2 linked regions of the Saccharomyces cerevisiae S288C genome follow. The protein of the gene in region 2 interacts with the protein of the main gene of each other region in a biochemical or structural test. Each region holds a gene or a part of one and is shown on either strand. Other genes may lie near its edges. The genes, in order: FRK1 and YJR142W.

Region 1 (5,361 bases), on a different chromosome or scaffold from region 2:
AACCCCAAAACATTCTTCTTAATGAAAAAGGGGAAATCAAATTATGCGATTTCGGTGTCAGTGGGGAGGCTGTTAACTCTTTAGCGATGACATTTACTGGAACGTCATTTTATATGGCCCCAGAACGAATACAAGGCCAACCATACAGCGTAACCTGTGATGTATGGTCCTTAGGATTAACTCTTCTGGAGGTTGCTGGAGGGAGATTTCCATTTGAATCTGACAAAATAACGCAAAACGTGGCTCCTATAGAATTATTGACGATGATCCTGACGTTTTCTCCCCAGTTGAAAGATGAGCCAGAACTAGACATATCCTGGAGCAAGACATTTAGATCTTTTATCGACTATTGTTTAAAAAAAGATGCCAGAGAGAGGCCTTCTCCCAGGCAAATGTTAAAGCATCCCTGGATTGTAGGGCAAATGAAAAAAAAAGTCAACATGGAACGGTTTGTAAAGAAATGCTGGGAAAAGGAAAAGGATGGGATATAAACTTCCAACATTTTCCTCTCGTAACCAGAACTGACTTTTTCTACAACAGGAATTCTTTAACGAGACTTCTCCTCCTTCACCATTCATAAGTTTAACGATGTTCTTTTATTATCTAGACACTCCGAAATATTCTTAACATATACGTATATAGTTTACTGAAAACCGAACTAGCCATGGGCTATGAAAGTTCTCCTATTTCCTTACTTACATCAAATAGAAATGCGCATCCAAGTCTTTCTGGCAGGCACGCTATGATGTGCTAAATTATGACTCAAGTGAGTACTAGGCGCTTTTGTACTCAGCCGCGCGGGGAAAATTTCTTCCCTCCCTACCAAAGAGGAAAAAATCATATGGCGTCATATTATCCTATATACAACGGTCGAACAAAAATCTGCTCGACTCAGAAAAATAAAAGGGTTTTAACATACTTATTGCTTACTTAAGTTACCACTTCAGTAACTGGAGCTATAAATACAATAAGCGTTTTGTACGTAGAAAATATCCTCTATATTGCCTGATTTTCTTTAGTTCCGACAAGGGCTCCGACCACGGGACAACCCTTATGATTTCTGTTATAAGGCCTATTTGTTCTAGTTACGACGACACTTACTGCTGTCTCTTGACCGTTTTTGCTATACTCATCCTCTTACCATTAAAAAAATAAAGAAAATGGACTCGAGTAAAGATGAAACCATATCTCTTTAATCACAACATACTCACTCTATGGGAGATTCTATTCTCCTTAGGTTAGTAAATGGCATTATAAATTAGCAAGCGTAGCCTCTTCAGCCTATACATCAGCTGAACCTGCACAATTAATGTCATGTGGCCGACGTAATGCATATCCATCTTTTTTACTCCCTTAAAAGAAGGTTTAGCCCCTACTGTATACTCAATGAACAGATAATGTCTATCCATAAAGTATATCATTTCAGGAACCCTAAATAATAGTGCTATCGTTACATATACTTTTAAATTTCATATTGCATTAAAATGCCGCACACCTTTTATGTAAACAAAGCCGCACTTCCTAAAAAAGCAATTGAAAACAATCGAAAGAATGAGTGTAGAACAGCAAAAAAGGTAAACAAGAGAAAAATTCTGAAACCCAGATCAACACCTGTTTCAACCCCTTCATCGATTTAAATATAATTCAAGTTCAGGTCATCGAGTAAATCTATAATAAATCAGATCACAAAATCTGGTACACTGCTGTTGCTGATCACGGTTCTTTTCATCTTTAACACATTTTCGCAGTTTTTTGACTGTGCCACATTTTGCATTAATTTGTTTCTTGTGACGTGTTTGCGAGAATTTTTTGATTGCTAATTAAACCTAACAATAATCGCTATTTTTTTTACCCATCCACAATACAAGAAAGGCGAGCCAAGCGGCGTTCAATATTCAATTGGCCATTACTTCTATATACTGATTTAGAGTGCCAAAAATTTAATGTCGTACACCAATAAACGTCATACATACTACGGAGGGTTTACCAACGATTTGTCTGACACATTTCAGTACCCTCAAAGAACAGATGAGCAAAGGCGGAAACATGTAACGTTTGGTCCTTATATCCTAGGGTCGACGTTAGGAGAAGGAGAGTTCGGAAAAGTGAAGCTAGGCTGGCCAAAGAATTTTTCAAACAGCTCTAATTCAACTTTTGACTTCCCAAAACAAGTAGCAATTAAACTTATCAAACGTGATAGCATATCGAATGATTACAGGAAAGAAGTTAAAATATACAGAGAAATCAACGCCTTAAAACACTTATCACATCCGAATATCGTAAAATTAGAAGAAGTGTTGCAAAATTCTAGGTACATTGGTATTGTCCTAGAGTACGCATGCGGGGGAGAATTCTATAAATATATTCAAAAAAAAAGGAGGCTTAAGGAAATGAATGCATGCAGGTTATTTTCTCAGCTAATAAGTGGAGTACATTACATACATTCTAAGGGACTTGTTCACAGAGATCTCAAATTGGAAAATCTATTACTAGACAAGAATGAGAACCTAGTTATTACAGATTTTGGGTTTGTCAATGAGTTTTGCTCACGAAACGAATTAATGAAGACGTCATGTGGCTCTCCATGCTACGCAGCGCCTGAACTAGTGATAAGCGCCGAACCATACGAAGCTAGAAAAGCAGATATATGGTCATGTGGAGTTATACTTTACGCTATACTAGCTGGATATTTACCGTGGGATGATGATCCAAATAATCCTGAAGGCAGCGATATAGGAAGACTTTATAATTATATTAACTCCACACCATTAAAGTTCCCTGATTATATTCTTCCTATACCTCGGGACTTATTAAGACGCATGCTGGTCTCAGACCCAAAGAAAAGAATAAACCTGAAACAGATCAAGAAACATGAATGGCTAAAGCCTCATTCTTCATTCTTATCCATAACACCTGATGAGTGGGACAAACTAAACAATACTCAATCCGTGTTCAGATTAGCAAAACCAAGAAGAAGATATGGATCTAGACCACAATCCAGTTGTTCTACCTCATCTCTTGGCTCAAGGAGTGATAAAAGGGATTCACTGGTCATTGATTCAACTTTAATTACTTTCCCGGCTCCGCCTCAAGAATCACAAAATCATATTATAACCAGACCGGCTTCTATTGCATCTGACCAGCGGCTGTCACCTATAAGAAGATCTAATAGGCACAATAGAAGTAACTCTGCTGCATCCGTTGCCTTGCAGGCAGTGGTGAACGCAGATAGGGAATATGTGTTAAGTCATGAACAATCATTATCCCCAGTACAAAACATTAGACAAACTACGGGAAACATGACTGCCAGTCTTTCACCTCCACCAGCCATAAGTCCAGGCGATATTATAATCGAAACCACACCTATTAAAAGAAATACAATTTCTGGGAGTAGTATTGTACCAAGTTTAGAAGAAGAGTCGTCTACCACAATGCAAACAAGCAAGATTCAACCAAATAACATGGCTTCATCACAAAATCATCAATACAATAAAAATAAGACCCAAAATAGTCTCCAATCTGCTAAAAATTTCTACCGTACGTCTTCCTCATCCCATACAAAGCCACGGCCAACTTCATACCATCCTGGCTCATACACAACACCTCCCTACAATTCAAATACGCTCTCCATATATGAGATCAACGAAAAAGCTAAAAGTAGCGCTTCATCACAAACGCTGAATCAAAGAGACACATCCCCATTTGATTCCACACCATACCTTGCCCTAGATACATGCATAACCTCATCCTCTTCCATCGAAAGCTCTCCAAAGTTAATTACGCACGGCCAATTTTCAGTAGCAAAACCCTCTGTTGATTTGCAAAGCGTATCTGGTGACTTGATCAAGTATAAGAGGGACGCTGATGTAGTAACGAGAATCTATGATGAAAAATACAAACAGAAGCGCAAAAGTTTGAGATATAGCGGCATATTCAGTGACATCTCATGCGATACGGTCACCGAAGAGTCTGATGAATTGAGGCCACCAGAATCTCCTCTTCAACAACATGAAGGACAAGAATCAATTGATAAGGCGAAAACGGAGGACACAAGTGAAAAGGGTAGTAAAAGTAGCAACATCGCGAAAGCTACAGCACAAAAACACGTCAATAACCATCTAGAAAGATCACTTAACGAAGCAGAGTCAACAAAGAAAAGATTTAGCTTTCTTTCCTTGTACTCTTATGATACTTCCAAATCTAGTTTATACTCATCAATGGATTCCAAACGGAAACCTTCTCCACCTTCCCAAAGACGCCCAAAAAAGGATGACAGTTATCAAACAAATTCAAAGAATCATTATATCACTGCTTCAAATATGCAAACATCCCATCAAGTCTCAAAAGACCTGCCTGCACCAACGATGGTGCAAAATAAATGTACTTTAGAAACTAAAAAAGCGGTCCGAAGCAACAGGTCCTCCATAATGGTATCTGAGGTCAACAAGGCAAGCGTAGACAATAAAGCAGCCCAAAGTCCAGAACATTCAACCGCAAAAAGAGTATTAGGGTTTTTCAAAAGAAGAAGTATGAAAATCTAGAGATAATACCTATCTCATTTGACAATAATATCCACTTATCATATGAAAAAATCAGTACTATCTGCAATTTTTCCATTTAAAATGTCTGTCGCTAAAATTTTGCGATTTGCCAGACCAACAAAATAATGTTATAATATACTTTATGAAATTTCAATCTAATAAACATTGAGCATATATATGCATATACCTACCATATATATTTTGCATTACTAAAAACATCAAAAATTTTTCTAAATTGTTACTTATTATCAATCATAGCTTCACTCCGCTTGAATCACGTCTTCTAAGCGGGAACATTGTTTCACTGCGCTTACAGCGAGATTCGCAGACATTTTAAGTAAGAAGACAATTTCTTTTGCCTTTTGTACGGAATTAATTTTAAAAATTATACTATATATATATTAGTCTTTTCTATTCTCAAAATATAATAATATTAATAGTAATAAAAGAGAAAATAACGATGTTTAATAGAGTACTTATACAATCAACAAATTTAGATGTTGGATGGGTACAAGAAGATTCTAACAGAAGCACCGAAGGTCTTGGCTGGCAAATTGTTTCTGAAGGTGGCTCTAACGACACCAGAGTTACCGTGAGTTCTGGTAACCTTACCCCACATAACTCTAATCTTAGAACCCCTGACTTCCTTGGAGGCTCTGTAGACGTAGGCAATACGCTTACCCAAGTAAAATTGAGCATCTTGTGGAGTAGCGACACCTTCGATCTTGATCAAAGAGACATTTGGGTTGTTGACTCTCTTGGATCTTTGGTAGGATAAGTGCTTACCTTTGACGTACACTAAAAAAAAAAAAGGAATAAA
Region 2 (3,398 bases):
TTCATTGGTAACATCATTGGGTGGTGGTTCCAAGTCATATCATTGGCTGTTTTTGTTGGCATTATCGTGGCCGATTTAATTACTAGACATCGTGGCTATTATGCCCTAAACAAGATGACCAGAGAAAAGCTGTATGGCCCATTGATGTTTTTCTTCGTCTCCTGGTGCTGTCATTATTTTCCATTCTTTTTAATGGCGCGTCAAAAGTTTTTGCATCATTACTTACCAGCTCATTTAATCGCGTGCTTATTCTCAGGAGCACTATGGGAAGTAATTTTCAGTGATTGCAAATCATTGGATTTGGAGAAAGACGAGGATATTTCAGGTGCATCATATGAACGGAACCCTAAGGTCTACGTTAAACCCTATACCGTCTTCTTGGTGTGTGTCTCCTGTGCTGTTGCGTGGTTTTTTGTATACTTTTCACCACTAGTGTATGGAGATGTCAGCTTGTCACCATCGGAAGTTGTTTCTAGAGAGTGGTTTGACATAGAATTAAATTTCTCCAAGTAACTTTTTCTGTTCACTAACCACAAACGAACTGAACGCCTTCCTCCGTTTAGTGACAAAATAGAGTACTTTTGATCTTAGATAGTATGTACCTAGATGTGTATATATGAAAAAAATTCTTTATATTTGTTTAGATATCAACCGGTAACCTCTTGAATGTTAATTCAAGGTGGGGAATGGTAACCTTCTGTGCATTCTAGTTACTAGTTCAAGATAATTGGGCTCATTTTCTGGAGTGATGTAGCCATGTCTAATCAAGAAATCTACCATTACCAATGCACAATTTGGTTTGAACTCTTTTTTTCTTAAAGCATTAATCGTCTCTTGCAGGCTGAATAAATTGAAACTCTCGACTTCACCATCGTTTGGTTTTGGAATGATGTCTTCGCTGAGTTTTAGATCGTATACATATTGTACTTCCCCTACGATAAAATCTGATTCCTTATTGAACTTCGTTACAGAAATATCACCCGTAAAGTAAAGGTAGGAAACTGAACCAGTTGCTTTAATGTTATCCTCAATAACACTCTTTTCTAGATTGGCTTCCTCCATGCTTTCTTTCAAAACTGTTTCATAGATACCATAAGGATAACCTAATCCCCCGGCGATAATGTTGTCAAGCATTAGCGGCCATGTTTGTTTCGTTTTAGATCTTCTTGGAACCCAAAACTGAACTTTTTTTGACTTTGGATCTAGCACATAACCATTAATATGAATCCCGTAGGTAATTATACCAAGAACACCTGCTACTGCACGCTCAACCAGTACATAGGGTTTTTTATTAACCCAAACGGCATATTTCTCGTTTCTCCAGCCCTTCACACCACTCAAGGATGATTCTAAATACATTTTACGAGCCAATTGGTCAATTAGATTGTTTCTATGATCAAAATCTTCACTTTTAAACCTTAACTCATGTCTAGATTCATCTAATTGGAAGGTTTCTTCGAAGATTTCCGAGCAAACAGTCTCCATTTCATTTATCGCAAATTTCAACACGAAACCGATCTTTGTGCCATCGTGTGTACACATATAGTAAATGCCCTCTTTGAAATTTTTGTAATTCTCGAAGTCTAATGGTAAAGGGTCTACGCGGTCCATAATCTCCAGGAAAGAGAACCCCTCTAGATCATCCTCCTGTGTCCTCACTAAAACTTCCAAGCCTTTAGATGATTTCTCGACCTTCATTGTATTAAAAGCGTTTGTTTCACTTTCGTTCCCAAGAAAGCCCCTATATTTAGTAATATAACAAACGCTATTGTTGTGCAATTCTTCGGCCAACGAAGTTAATTCTACAACTGTATGTTAAAAAAAAAAAGAAGCTATTTATTACTTGATGACAATATTTGTACAAATTTGAAAGAGAATGGTTCTTAAAATTAGATTAGTGATGTATAGCTAATGGTCCATTCACCAATTTTTTTCATGCTTGAGGGTAAAAGTGCATTAGTATGTTGAAGGGCGCTGTAAAAAGCATTAAACGATGTTTCTTGGAAATCTAATTCCTCGACGACTTGTCGATTGAGACATCGATTTATTGTGGTAACGCTGTTTGTGTAAAGCAACTTCATCGCTCTCTTGAAGCTTTTGTTTCCCGTCAATGTGACTCCAATGTCAACGGAAAATATCCAAACTAGCAATGATTCCGTTTTACATTTTACTAGTACGTAACGACAAGAGTTTGCCTTAACTACGTTTATTAAAGAAATTGTAATGTCACATTCTGGAGGAAATTTGTATGTGTTTCCACTGCGTATTAACTGCAGTTTCCATTTGTGTAGTTTATAAAGCGAACCAGCAGTTACTTGGCCTAACACTGCTGAGCACTTTATGCATAAAACATTATCATTTTCCTTTGTAGTCGCTACATTTTCAAAAGTCGCAGGAGTGCCTTGAAAATAAGAGCTTCCAATTAAAATTTCGTTTTTAGATGGTTTTAGCGTTTCAAATCTTGTGTAGGAAGACTTGTCTTCCTTAACATCGGGTTTGTGGCAATGCCAATAATCCATTAACTCGAACCAAAACTCTGAAGGCATATCATTCAAAACTTGACAGTTATCTTTGCTTATAATTTTTTGCTTACAGTTAAGACATTCTATCGAGAAATCAGAATCTGAGCGAAGCTCTTCTTTAGTCCATCTTCCATCTGGAAGCGACATGATAGAACTGTCATATATCTTAGAGGATTTGCTTCTTAACTTCGTCATCCATTCTAAGTCTTTACCTCTGTTTTTGAACTTGTAAGAAGCGTCTACTTTTTCTTCAACTTCTACTGGAAGTAAAATATCTTCAACTTGTTCTTCATCACCAGATATGCTCATGAGTGTGTCCTTCAAGTTCTTTATCTCCACCTGCTTCCAACCTTCTACTACCACTGAAATGCTCTGTATCCTTGGTAACCATTCTACCACATATTGAACCATCACCCTTGCATTTGTTTCTCTCTTTGTTTTCTTGACTTTCCTTTTCTTTACTTCGATTTAACAGCTTGTTACTATGTGCCATCGCGAAATTATTTATTGAATTGTTTACGTTGGGAAGAGCAGAAATACAAATAGACGGTAGCAAGGCAGGTCCGTAAAGGCACTTTAAGGAGTTAGAACCTCAACACAGATTCTAGATAAAGCTTATTATGTCTATGTTCAATGCCCTCAATTCAAACATCGAAGGTGAACAATATGAAGCAGAGGAGCATTCAAGAGAGCTTCAAATAGAACAGAGTTTTAATATTTTGCAGGACGCTCTGATTGATCTAAAAAACAAGGACTTCGAAAAGTCGGACAGCAAATTCCAAGAGCTCTTCCAGATTGATGTCGTCAAGCCTGATAGGTGGGGCATGTATCGCAATTCTTCTCCTACGCTAGATAACCTGCGATATCTATGTTATA

The links.
Region 1: of the proteins of YJR142W (region 2) and FRK1, one has a biochemical effect on the other in vitro, tested with the Saccharomyces cerevisiae proteins (one large-scale study listed by BioGRID).

The regions. Positions count from the first base shown.
Region 1 is NC_001148.4:282,644-288,004, reverse strand, and holds FRK1 (protein kinase FRK1), read left to right. Parts: upstream 1-1,943; coding exon 1,944-4,541; downstream 4,542-5,361. Other genes in the region: putative mitogen-activated protein kinase kinase MKK2, read left to right, coding at 1-491; 60S ribosomal protein eL33 RPL33A, read right to left, coding at 5,035-5,339. UniProt on the Saccharomyces cerevisiae protein: Putative serine/threonine-protein kinase that may be involved in rRNA transcription and ribosome biogenesis.
Region 2 is NC_001142.9:695,441-698,838, reverse strand, and holds YJR142W (uncharacterized protein), read right to left. Parts: upstream 1,699-3,398; coding exon 670-1,698; downstream 1-669. Other genes in the region: PMT4 (dolichyl-phosphate-mannose-protein mannosyltransferase), read left to right, coding at 1-513; IPA1 (putative polyadenylation protein), read right to left, coding at 1,890-2,933; HIR3 (Hir3p), read left to right, coding at 3,143-3,398.